Tamandua tetradactyla: one gene and its partner. The protein of the gene in region 1 purifies or fractionates together with the protein of each later gene. This does not show direct contact. Links are inferred from orthologs where the notes say so. Each region holds a gene or a part of one and is shown on either strand. Other genes may lie near its edges.

What was found.
Region 2: the proteins of ZCCHC10 (region 1) and NEURL4 purify together in Homo sapiens (co-immunoprecipitation; 3 studies listed by BioGRID and IntAct, with this or other methods). This does not show direct contact. The link is inferred for Tamandua tetradactyla from reciprocal best matches to the Homo sapiens genes ZCCHC10 and NEURL4.

What each region holds. Positions count from the first base shown.
Region 1 is NC_135346.1:11,886,379-11,890,287, forward strand, and holds the start of ZCCHC10 (zinc finger CCHC domain-containing protein 10), read right to left. Parts: upstream 2,260-3,909; 5' UTR 2,196-2,259; coding exon 2,155-2,195; intron 1-2,154.
Region 2 is NC_135332.1:61,193,420-61,197,328, reverse strand, and holds the start of NEURL4 (neuralized-like protein 4), read left to right. Parts: upstream 1-1,465; 5' UTR 1,466-1,474; coding exon of another isoform or gene 1,475-1,971; 5' UTR 1,972-3,111; coding exon 3,112-3,393; intron 3,394-3,909. Other genes in the region: uncharacterized protein LOC143688138, read right to left, coding at 140-391, 489-577, 803-889, 1,017-1,124, 1,475-1,971. UniProt on the Homo sapiens protein: Promotes CCP110 ubiquitination and proteasome-dependent degradation. By counteracting accumulation of CP110, maintains normal centriolar homeostasis and preventing formation of ectopic microtubular organizing centers.

The DNA of each region.
Region 1 (3,909 bases):
TTATAACTAATTTTAAAAGTTTTACACTTGTTATTATGGAAGTGATATATACCCCTTACAGGTATGATTAAACCCTTTTGATGAATATAAAACGAGAAGTAAAAGAGAGGAAAGCTCCTCTCCTGCTTTCCCCACAAACATACACTCCAGACTCCTGGACTCCACTAGTTGTTTTTTTTGGTATGCTGGGGCTCACATGTCATTCTTTTTCTGTGTGAGTTTCTGGTTATTGCAGCACCATTTGTTGAATTTTTTTCTTTTTTTTCTTTGTTTTTTTTTCAGGGATAGATGAACGGGTCTGAATCCCTGAGGAACGTACAGTCTGTATACCATGACATCTTTTATCATATACCACGTTTCCTTCAATAAGACCAGAAGCTCCTAAAAGTAAAGATTTGTTTTTACTTCTGTGTACTCATGTACCAAATACAGGCACACTATAGAAATGGAACATCTGTTTAAACTAACTTCATGATACATACGAAAAAAGTAATAGCAAATTTCTTTAGATGCTAAAAGTCTTATTTTTCACCTCACACTTACAGTAGACATTGATTGTTTTTGCCAATCCAGCATTCACTTACCACCTTTTATCTACCCACCCAGCTCATCAATTTGCTTGATGGTGAGCATCTGAATTGTGCTGGGAGAAGAATGCTATTTAAGTCAATCAGGGCTTCACAATCTCCTACACATGGTTCAGGGTTTGGCATGTAATCCAATCTAGACCAATGAGATGCAAACAACTTGAAGCTGAGAGGGTATAATGAACCCTAGATAATGCAGCCATCTTGAGACCAAAGGAGAGAGTCTATCCAAGTGTGAGGTCACCCAAAAGAGCAAACCTGGGAAAGAGGAAGAAATGAGACCCTGACGACATCACTTAGCACTCCTATTAAGTATTACTATCACCTCATTCTTTACCTCAGAACTAACTTCAAAGCCCTTTACCACCAACTTTACTACACCAGCACCCAATAACCTTATGTTCAAGGAACTCGCTTTAATTGGGCACCTGGGCTGGACTCAGTTGGAGGAGAGAAAAGAACAGGGTTCTGGAAATAAATTTAAACAAATACAAGCATATTTATGCATATATAGTATAGCAGACTATGAGCTATATGAGACTATAGGTGTGCCAACGGTGAAGGCATGAAATGCGGAGAGAGTGAAAAAGTGGCAGACACTGTTCGGGTCTGCAAGTAGGCAGAAGAAAGGCTTCACAAGAAGCGGTAAACCTCTGTAAACTCAGCTTGTGCCACTCTTGCTCATTAGCCCAAATGGCCTTTCATAGTTCTTAAAACTAAATTACTTCCAGCTTCAGATCAACTGTGCCACTGTCTGGTTATTTTTCTCTCAAATCTTTCACAACTGGCTCCTATCTTACCTTTTCAGTCTCACTTTGTACCACCTTTTCAGAGATGACTTTCCAGTTCACCCAACCCGAAGTAGTCTTTTCTCCCTTTCCATCAAAACACTTTTCACCAACTGTGTTTACTAATTTGTTTAGTTTACCAATATTTCCACCACTAGGATGTAAACTTTGTGAAAGCAGGGATTCTGTCTTGAACACCGCCTTTTCTTTATACCCAGATTCTGATAGAGAGCGGTAGGTCCTGAATAAATTAACACTCATGGGAGGACAGAATCTCTGGCAGAAATTGGGGGAAGAGTTGGCGTTGTAAACAGGCTGCTTCCTCTTTGGGAAAGCGTGGGAAAAGCCAGCTAGATTGGAAGCTATTCAGGAGGGTTGAAGGTTTACCAGGTGGGAGTGGACTGTGCGAACAGGGATTCAGGCCTCATCTGGGCGCGCGTGGGGTGGGCGACGGGGTGAGCGGAGGGTGACGGTCAAGACACCACTTAGTGACCAACTGCTAAGCGTTCCCTTAGAGGGAACCAAACACCGCGGCTCTCCTCAACACTGTGTCCAGCACCGCGTACCTTACGTCCTCGGAAATCGCCAGCCCACGGGAACCAAACCAACTGGCCGGAGCTCTCTGGGGGCAGGCGCCCTATACAGAAACGACTACACTCCCCCGCTCCCCACTGGGGATCCAAGTCCGGCCTCCAAACTCAGCGCCCGCTCACCGGCCGGTTGACGCGAGTCTCCCCGCCCCCAGCCCGCCCTGTCGCGGAATTCGGGCCCTCACTTACGCCTGTCTCCGGGCTATGAGCCGATGCATGGGAGTCGCCATCTTAGCGCAGCTCCGGACAGCCGCGCGGGGTCTTGGGAAACTTCTCAGGAGGGGCGGGGCCTTCTGATCCGGCGGCAGGGACCTGGGCGGAGCCAGACGGCAGATTCCAAGTGTAGACAGGGTGGGCGGGGGTCGGTGCGCGGTGCGGAAGCCCCTCTTGCGTGGGTCCTTTGATTTGAGGAAGATAAGTGAGGCCCTCTTCTGGGCCTGAACAGGGTTTTGAGGGATGAGTACACATATATTGGGTAGGTAAGGCAGGGAAGAACATTCTGGAAGGAGTACTCTATTTCTATACAAAGACAAAAAAGAATGAAAGAGTATTCAGTTTTCAGAAAACTGGAAGACCCTGCAGAGTAAAATAGGAAGGAAAGAATTAAACAGGAATGTGAGCATCAAAAAAGAATGACTTTAGCGAACCGTAAAGTGTAAACGTGTTAATTATTTTTATTTTTATGCATTTCACAGGGATGCCAAAAGGATCAGATGAGACTATATGATTTTACCTGGAAAAGGGTTATACAAATATTATTTTGGGATATTTTAGCTGCACCTACGTTTAATGTCAGACTATGGAGAGATTATTCTTTAATTCCAGATTCTTTAAAACATATAAATTTGCATATACATACGTGTTTCTCCGTCTCCCATTAATATTTATTTCAATTAATACTTATTTGAGACCTAAAATGTTGTAAGAGCAGGGACTAGGACACTAAACAAATAAAATCCTTGTACACATGGTGCTTTCGTCAGACAATGAACAAGCCCAAGAAGGCTATTTCCAATGAGCTTATGAATATTCTAAGGATAAATAATTTAGAGTAAGGGGATAAAGAGTGATTAGCTATGGGAATTAGGGAAGGTCTCTGATGATGTGACCTTTGAGCCTATTTTATTAATTAAAAATTGGAATCTTACTACGTTTCTGTTGTTAGGATAGCTTTTTTCATTCCTCAATGATTTATGGGCATCTTTCCCATATCAACAATATAGATCTAATTCACTCTTTTTATGTATTGTATGGATTACATATCTACTGCACAATTTATCCAACCAGTACTCTATTGATGTACAATTGGGTCATTTACCACAATGATAGAATTAATAGATCTTTAAACACTGTTCCCACCCAGACCCAGTTCAGGCAAAGCATGAGCTGGTGCTGCTGTGAGACCGAAAAACATGCCTGGCACAGAAGTAGATACAGATTTATTGGCACTTATGAACAGAAAAGATTCTCCAGTGGCAGCCGGTCCAGAGTGATAGTGCCTGGCTAGGAATAGGAGTGCGGGGGTGGGGGATGGCAATGCGTGTTTGAGTTTAGACAACGACATTCCATATAGTATGAGGACATTAGCGTCTCCCTAGTATAATCTTTAAAGGACGTAGGACCTGATGTTTTACTAAGATTAGTGTTTAAGACTCAGATACAATCTATACCGTTTACGTCTCTGGTTACATGTCTGCCCCCTCTAGGGAGATTGTTTACTTTCTTGACCTTTGCTCTTAGGTAAAGCAGACCAGCTACATGCCTTTTAGGAGGGGACCTGGTCCCTGGGCCCCCACAAGCACTTAACTCAAGTGTTACTGTAAGAAGACTTTCTAGAAGTGGAATTGCATAAAAGGATATATGCACTTCTAATTTTGATAGATATTACCAGATTGGACTTTAATTTAGTTATATCCAAACCTGTTCCCTCCGGAGAATAGCGAA
Region 2 (3,909 bases), on another chromosome or scaffold:
CACCTCTCAGCATCACCTTCACCTCAAGCAGCAGGGGCCTGGGCTGATGCCCACAGGGGAAAAGGAACTCTGGTGGGGGAAGAGAACAACTGGTTCTGCACTACAACCCCCTTGAGTCGCTGGAGTCCCCATCGCTAACCTTTGGCTTCTAGAACGTGACTCCTGGCCTCTAGGCCAGTCTCATCTTTGCCTCCTCTGGCTGATCCTCTTTTACTGCCTCTCTCCACAGGCTTGGGTTCGGGGTCTGGCATCACACCTCGACCTCCATTGCTGGCAGTGACACTACCCCCGTGGTAGCGATCGTCATTACCCAACGGCAAGGTTTTCTGAGTCCTGAGGAAATTCCCTTCATCATAGTGTGCCTTGCGGTGCTGGTCAAAATCACTGGAGTCTGTGGGCCAGTGTGAGAGCTTGGCTTTTCCCTCCCAGGTTCTCTGGTAGGTTGACTCCGCCTCCCCTTCTCATTTAATCCCCACCCCTCATCTCACGTGTCTTGGTAAAGTTGTCTAGAGACCCTGAATATCTGTTCTCACGGTTCTGGAGGACCTTGGGGTGGAAATTGTCCACTGTTGCAAACCTGAAGAGAAAGACTAGTTGGGGGTACTGAAGGGAAGTGAGTAACAAGAGGGTAGGTGGGGAGGGGGCTGAGCCAGCTGCCCCTCAACCTAGGTGGATCTTGGCCAGTCCTGATGAGAACTGTAGCAATACCCATGTTGGGGTCCAAAGAGTAGAGCTGGCTCAGACCCCAGAGTCAAGGGGTGGAGGTCCCCCTGCCTCACATGATCTCTGACAGGACTCTCACCTCTCTGCCAGTGCCTGGGGAGTCACTGCGTAGGAGGAGCCTGTGGCCAGGTCCTCGTTGCTGTCCTGCAGCCTGTGGACAGGGGAGCTATGCAGGGAGGGGGAGTCCAAGTAGCAACCAGTACTTGAGGCTTCTTGGCCTTCTCCTCCCTTCCCAACCCCCTGGCATAGTGAGGAGAGTCTGGGTGGAAGGGGTAGAGTTGAGGGCTCAGCACCTGTGGTAGGGAGTGCTGGGCTCGTCCACCTTCATAAGTCCGTAGTCTTTGCCAGCAGGGTGGTAAGTGGCCAAGATATTCATCTCATCCCAGCGCTGGGCCTTTTTCCTGGGGGGCGGGGGGGGGCAGTTCGAGGAGGAAACATTCTAATGATCCTCTCCTACAGCCCTTCCTCATTCTTTCAGAAAGCTTTTTTGCGCCCCCTTGTAGGTCCAGGGGCGGTATGGACAGAAATATAAGCGGCTGGGAGTGGAGTCAGACGTAGTGATTACTTGGGTACTGTGTATCCACGGTTAATCGGGCCCCTGCGGGTTTCCCCAAGGCCCCAACCTCAAATTTCCCTCCCAATGTCTCTTCCTCTCGGGACTCCTCCCATTCCCCAGGCCCCGCCCTCTCCGGAGTCCCGAACTCCTCCCCCGGAGCTCTCGGCCGCTCTCCCGCAGGGCTGGGCCCCTTACTTTTCCACATTGGGGCATTTCTGCATCAAGACACAGCTGTTGTTTTTGAGGATGCTCCGGGGCCGGTCTTCACGTGTTATTGTGTTGCGGGAGGGAGAGCAAATTGGCCCGGAGTGCGGACTACACCCCTCTATGTACTCTTCAGACCCCCCGGACCAGGGGCTAGACGCCCGGGTTAAGCTGGTTCCAGGGCAGTGGGTGTTGATTACGGCAGGGTATATGACAGACCCAGGGCCATGACCCGCAACCTCTCCAGGGGGCTGGCTGGGTCCCGAGCCGAGGACCGCGACTCCCCCAGAGGGCTGGCTGGTACCAGGACTATGAGTTACGACACTCCCGGAGTGCTGGGAAGGCGCAGAGCCGTGAAACAGGACTGTTCCCGAGGACAGCCCGGCGCCTGCCTCGGCCCTTCTGATTCCTCCGGGAACCTCCTGGGTTGTTCCTCCGGGAGATTCCCCTTTGAGGCCGCCAGCGGCCCCCAGAGTCTCCTTCGGCATGGCCCCACCTCCGGGGGCCACTGTTATCCACCCGGCCCCGCCTTGCCTCCCTCCCCCACATGGCCCCGCCCCCGAGGCCCCGCCCCATAACGGGGTGGGGCGGGGGCGGTTGGGCAGCGGCTAGGGTTGTCTCACTGCTGCGGTGGGCGGGAGACCGGGTATAAGGACGTCAGGCTACAAGTCCCCCTACTCGCCCCTCCCTTTTGGTCCCACCCAAAGATCTTCTTTCTTTGTCTCCAGGATTTGTTCCCGCCCTTCTCTCCCATCACGGCCCTCCTCTGAATCGGCCAATCATAACCAGGGTCCTGGGGTGTGGGGGTGTGGGCCGAGAAGCGTGGATTGTGACGTCACAGCCCTCCATCATTAACGCGAGCGTGGGAGAGTTGAGCTGGGACTTAACATGCCTGGGGGATCTTTTAGGACTGTTCACGCCGTTGCTCGAAACTGCCATAGTTTCTTTGGACTCTTTATTCGTAGCTTTAAAATCGAAGAGTTTGGTTAAATTGGGGCTCAAGCAGGGCTTGAATGGAAACCTCCGCAGCTTTTTTTTCCTTTCTCCCCCAAAATCGGCTCCCTCTGTCTCTCACGAGAAGTGTGGCGCTACTGTCGCAAGACATTTCCGGTATCGGTGGTGCGGAGGGCCGACTTTCACTTACAAAACTGCCGGTTCTCTTCGCCGGGCCATCCAACCGTGGCTCAAATCGCTTTGAAGAGCGAAACGGAAAAACCTCCTCCTCTTGCCGTAAAGCGAATACATCCTTCCTTCTATGGAGGGCGGGATCGTCCGGGCCGCTGCCGCAAAACTGCGAGCGTTGAGGCGCCAGCACCCCTCTGTCGTAAGGTTGCCTGGGGCAGTCGTTTCCTCTTTCCACTGTCGCAAAAGCTCCCTGCCCAAGTGTTCGCCTGTCTCAAGAGCCACTCCGTTACCTCACCGTGCCGTAAAGCAAACAACCCGACCCCGACGTCCTTCTGTTCCTATCGTGGTAGTCAGGTCCTTAGCCCGGGAAGCCTCATTGCCTGGGGGTGCCGTAAAGCATTTCTGGTCCCCGCCCACGTTCCTATTTCCTCAGGGTGCCTGTCCCTCGCGGTTGCCACGGTGCCGCCAAGCGCGGCTGTCGCGCGGCCCCGGTGTCAGCGGCGATGGCGGCGGGGTCCGGTGGGAGTGGGGGCTCTGGGGGAGGTCCAGGGCCGAGCGGGGGCGGGGGCGGGGGGCCCAGCGAGAGCGGCCCGGGATCGGGGTCCGGCGCGGGTCTCGGCAGCGGTGGGGAGCTGCACCCGCGCACCGGGCGCTTGGTGAGCCTTTCGGCCTGTGGGCGTACAGCGCGGCGGCAGCAGCCGGGCCAGGAGTTTAACCACGGGCTCGTGTTGAGCCGGGAACCTTTGCGCGATGGACACGTCTTCACTGTCCGCATCGACCGAAAGGTGCGGAGCCGCTGTCGCGGAACCGAGATGCAGAGGGTGGTGGGAGGGGACCACAGGGAGACGGGGTAGGACAGCCCAGAAGAGTCCACATCCCAGGGTAGAGGGGGGGAATCGCCCGTCTGTCACCAGATGATAGAAAAGGACCTTGAAGCAGAAGCATGCAGTCTGCAGGAGAAAAGAGATCCAGAAGTAGGGAAGGGATGTTAGAATAGCTGGAGAGCAGATCCAATTTCTTGGAAATGGAGGGTGAGAGATGCCAGAGTGTGATGGCAAGAGAAGAGAGATAGAAAGGGGAAAAAAATCAATTAAGGCAAACCCAGGGACAAGGCCAGAAAGCTGCGTGAGTAAAATGCTCAGGAAGAGGGAGGTGTGTGTGTGTCATTTAGTGAAAAGGCCAGGCTCACAGAGATAAATTTGGGAGGAGCGTGAACCTGGGTAGATCTAGAGTCTTGGAGAGAATTGGGCCAGAGGATAGAGTACTATATGATATCAAGGGGTATGTGAACAATTTGGGTG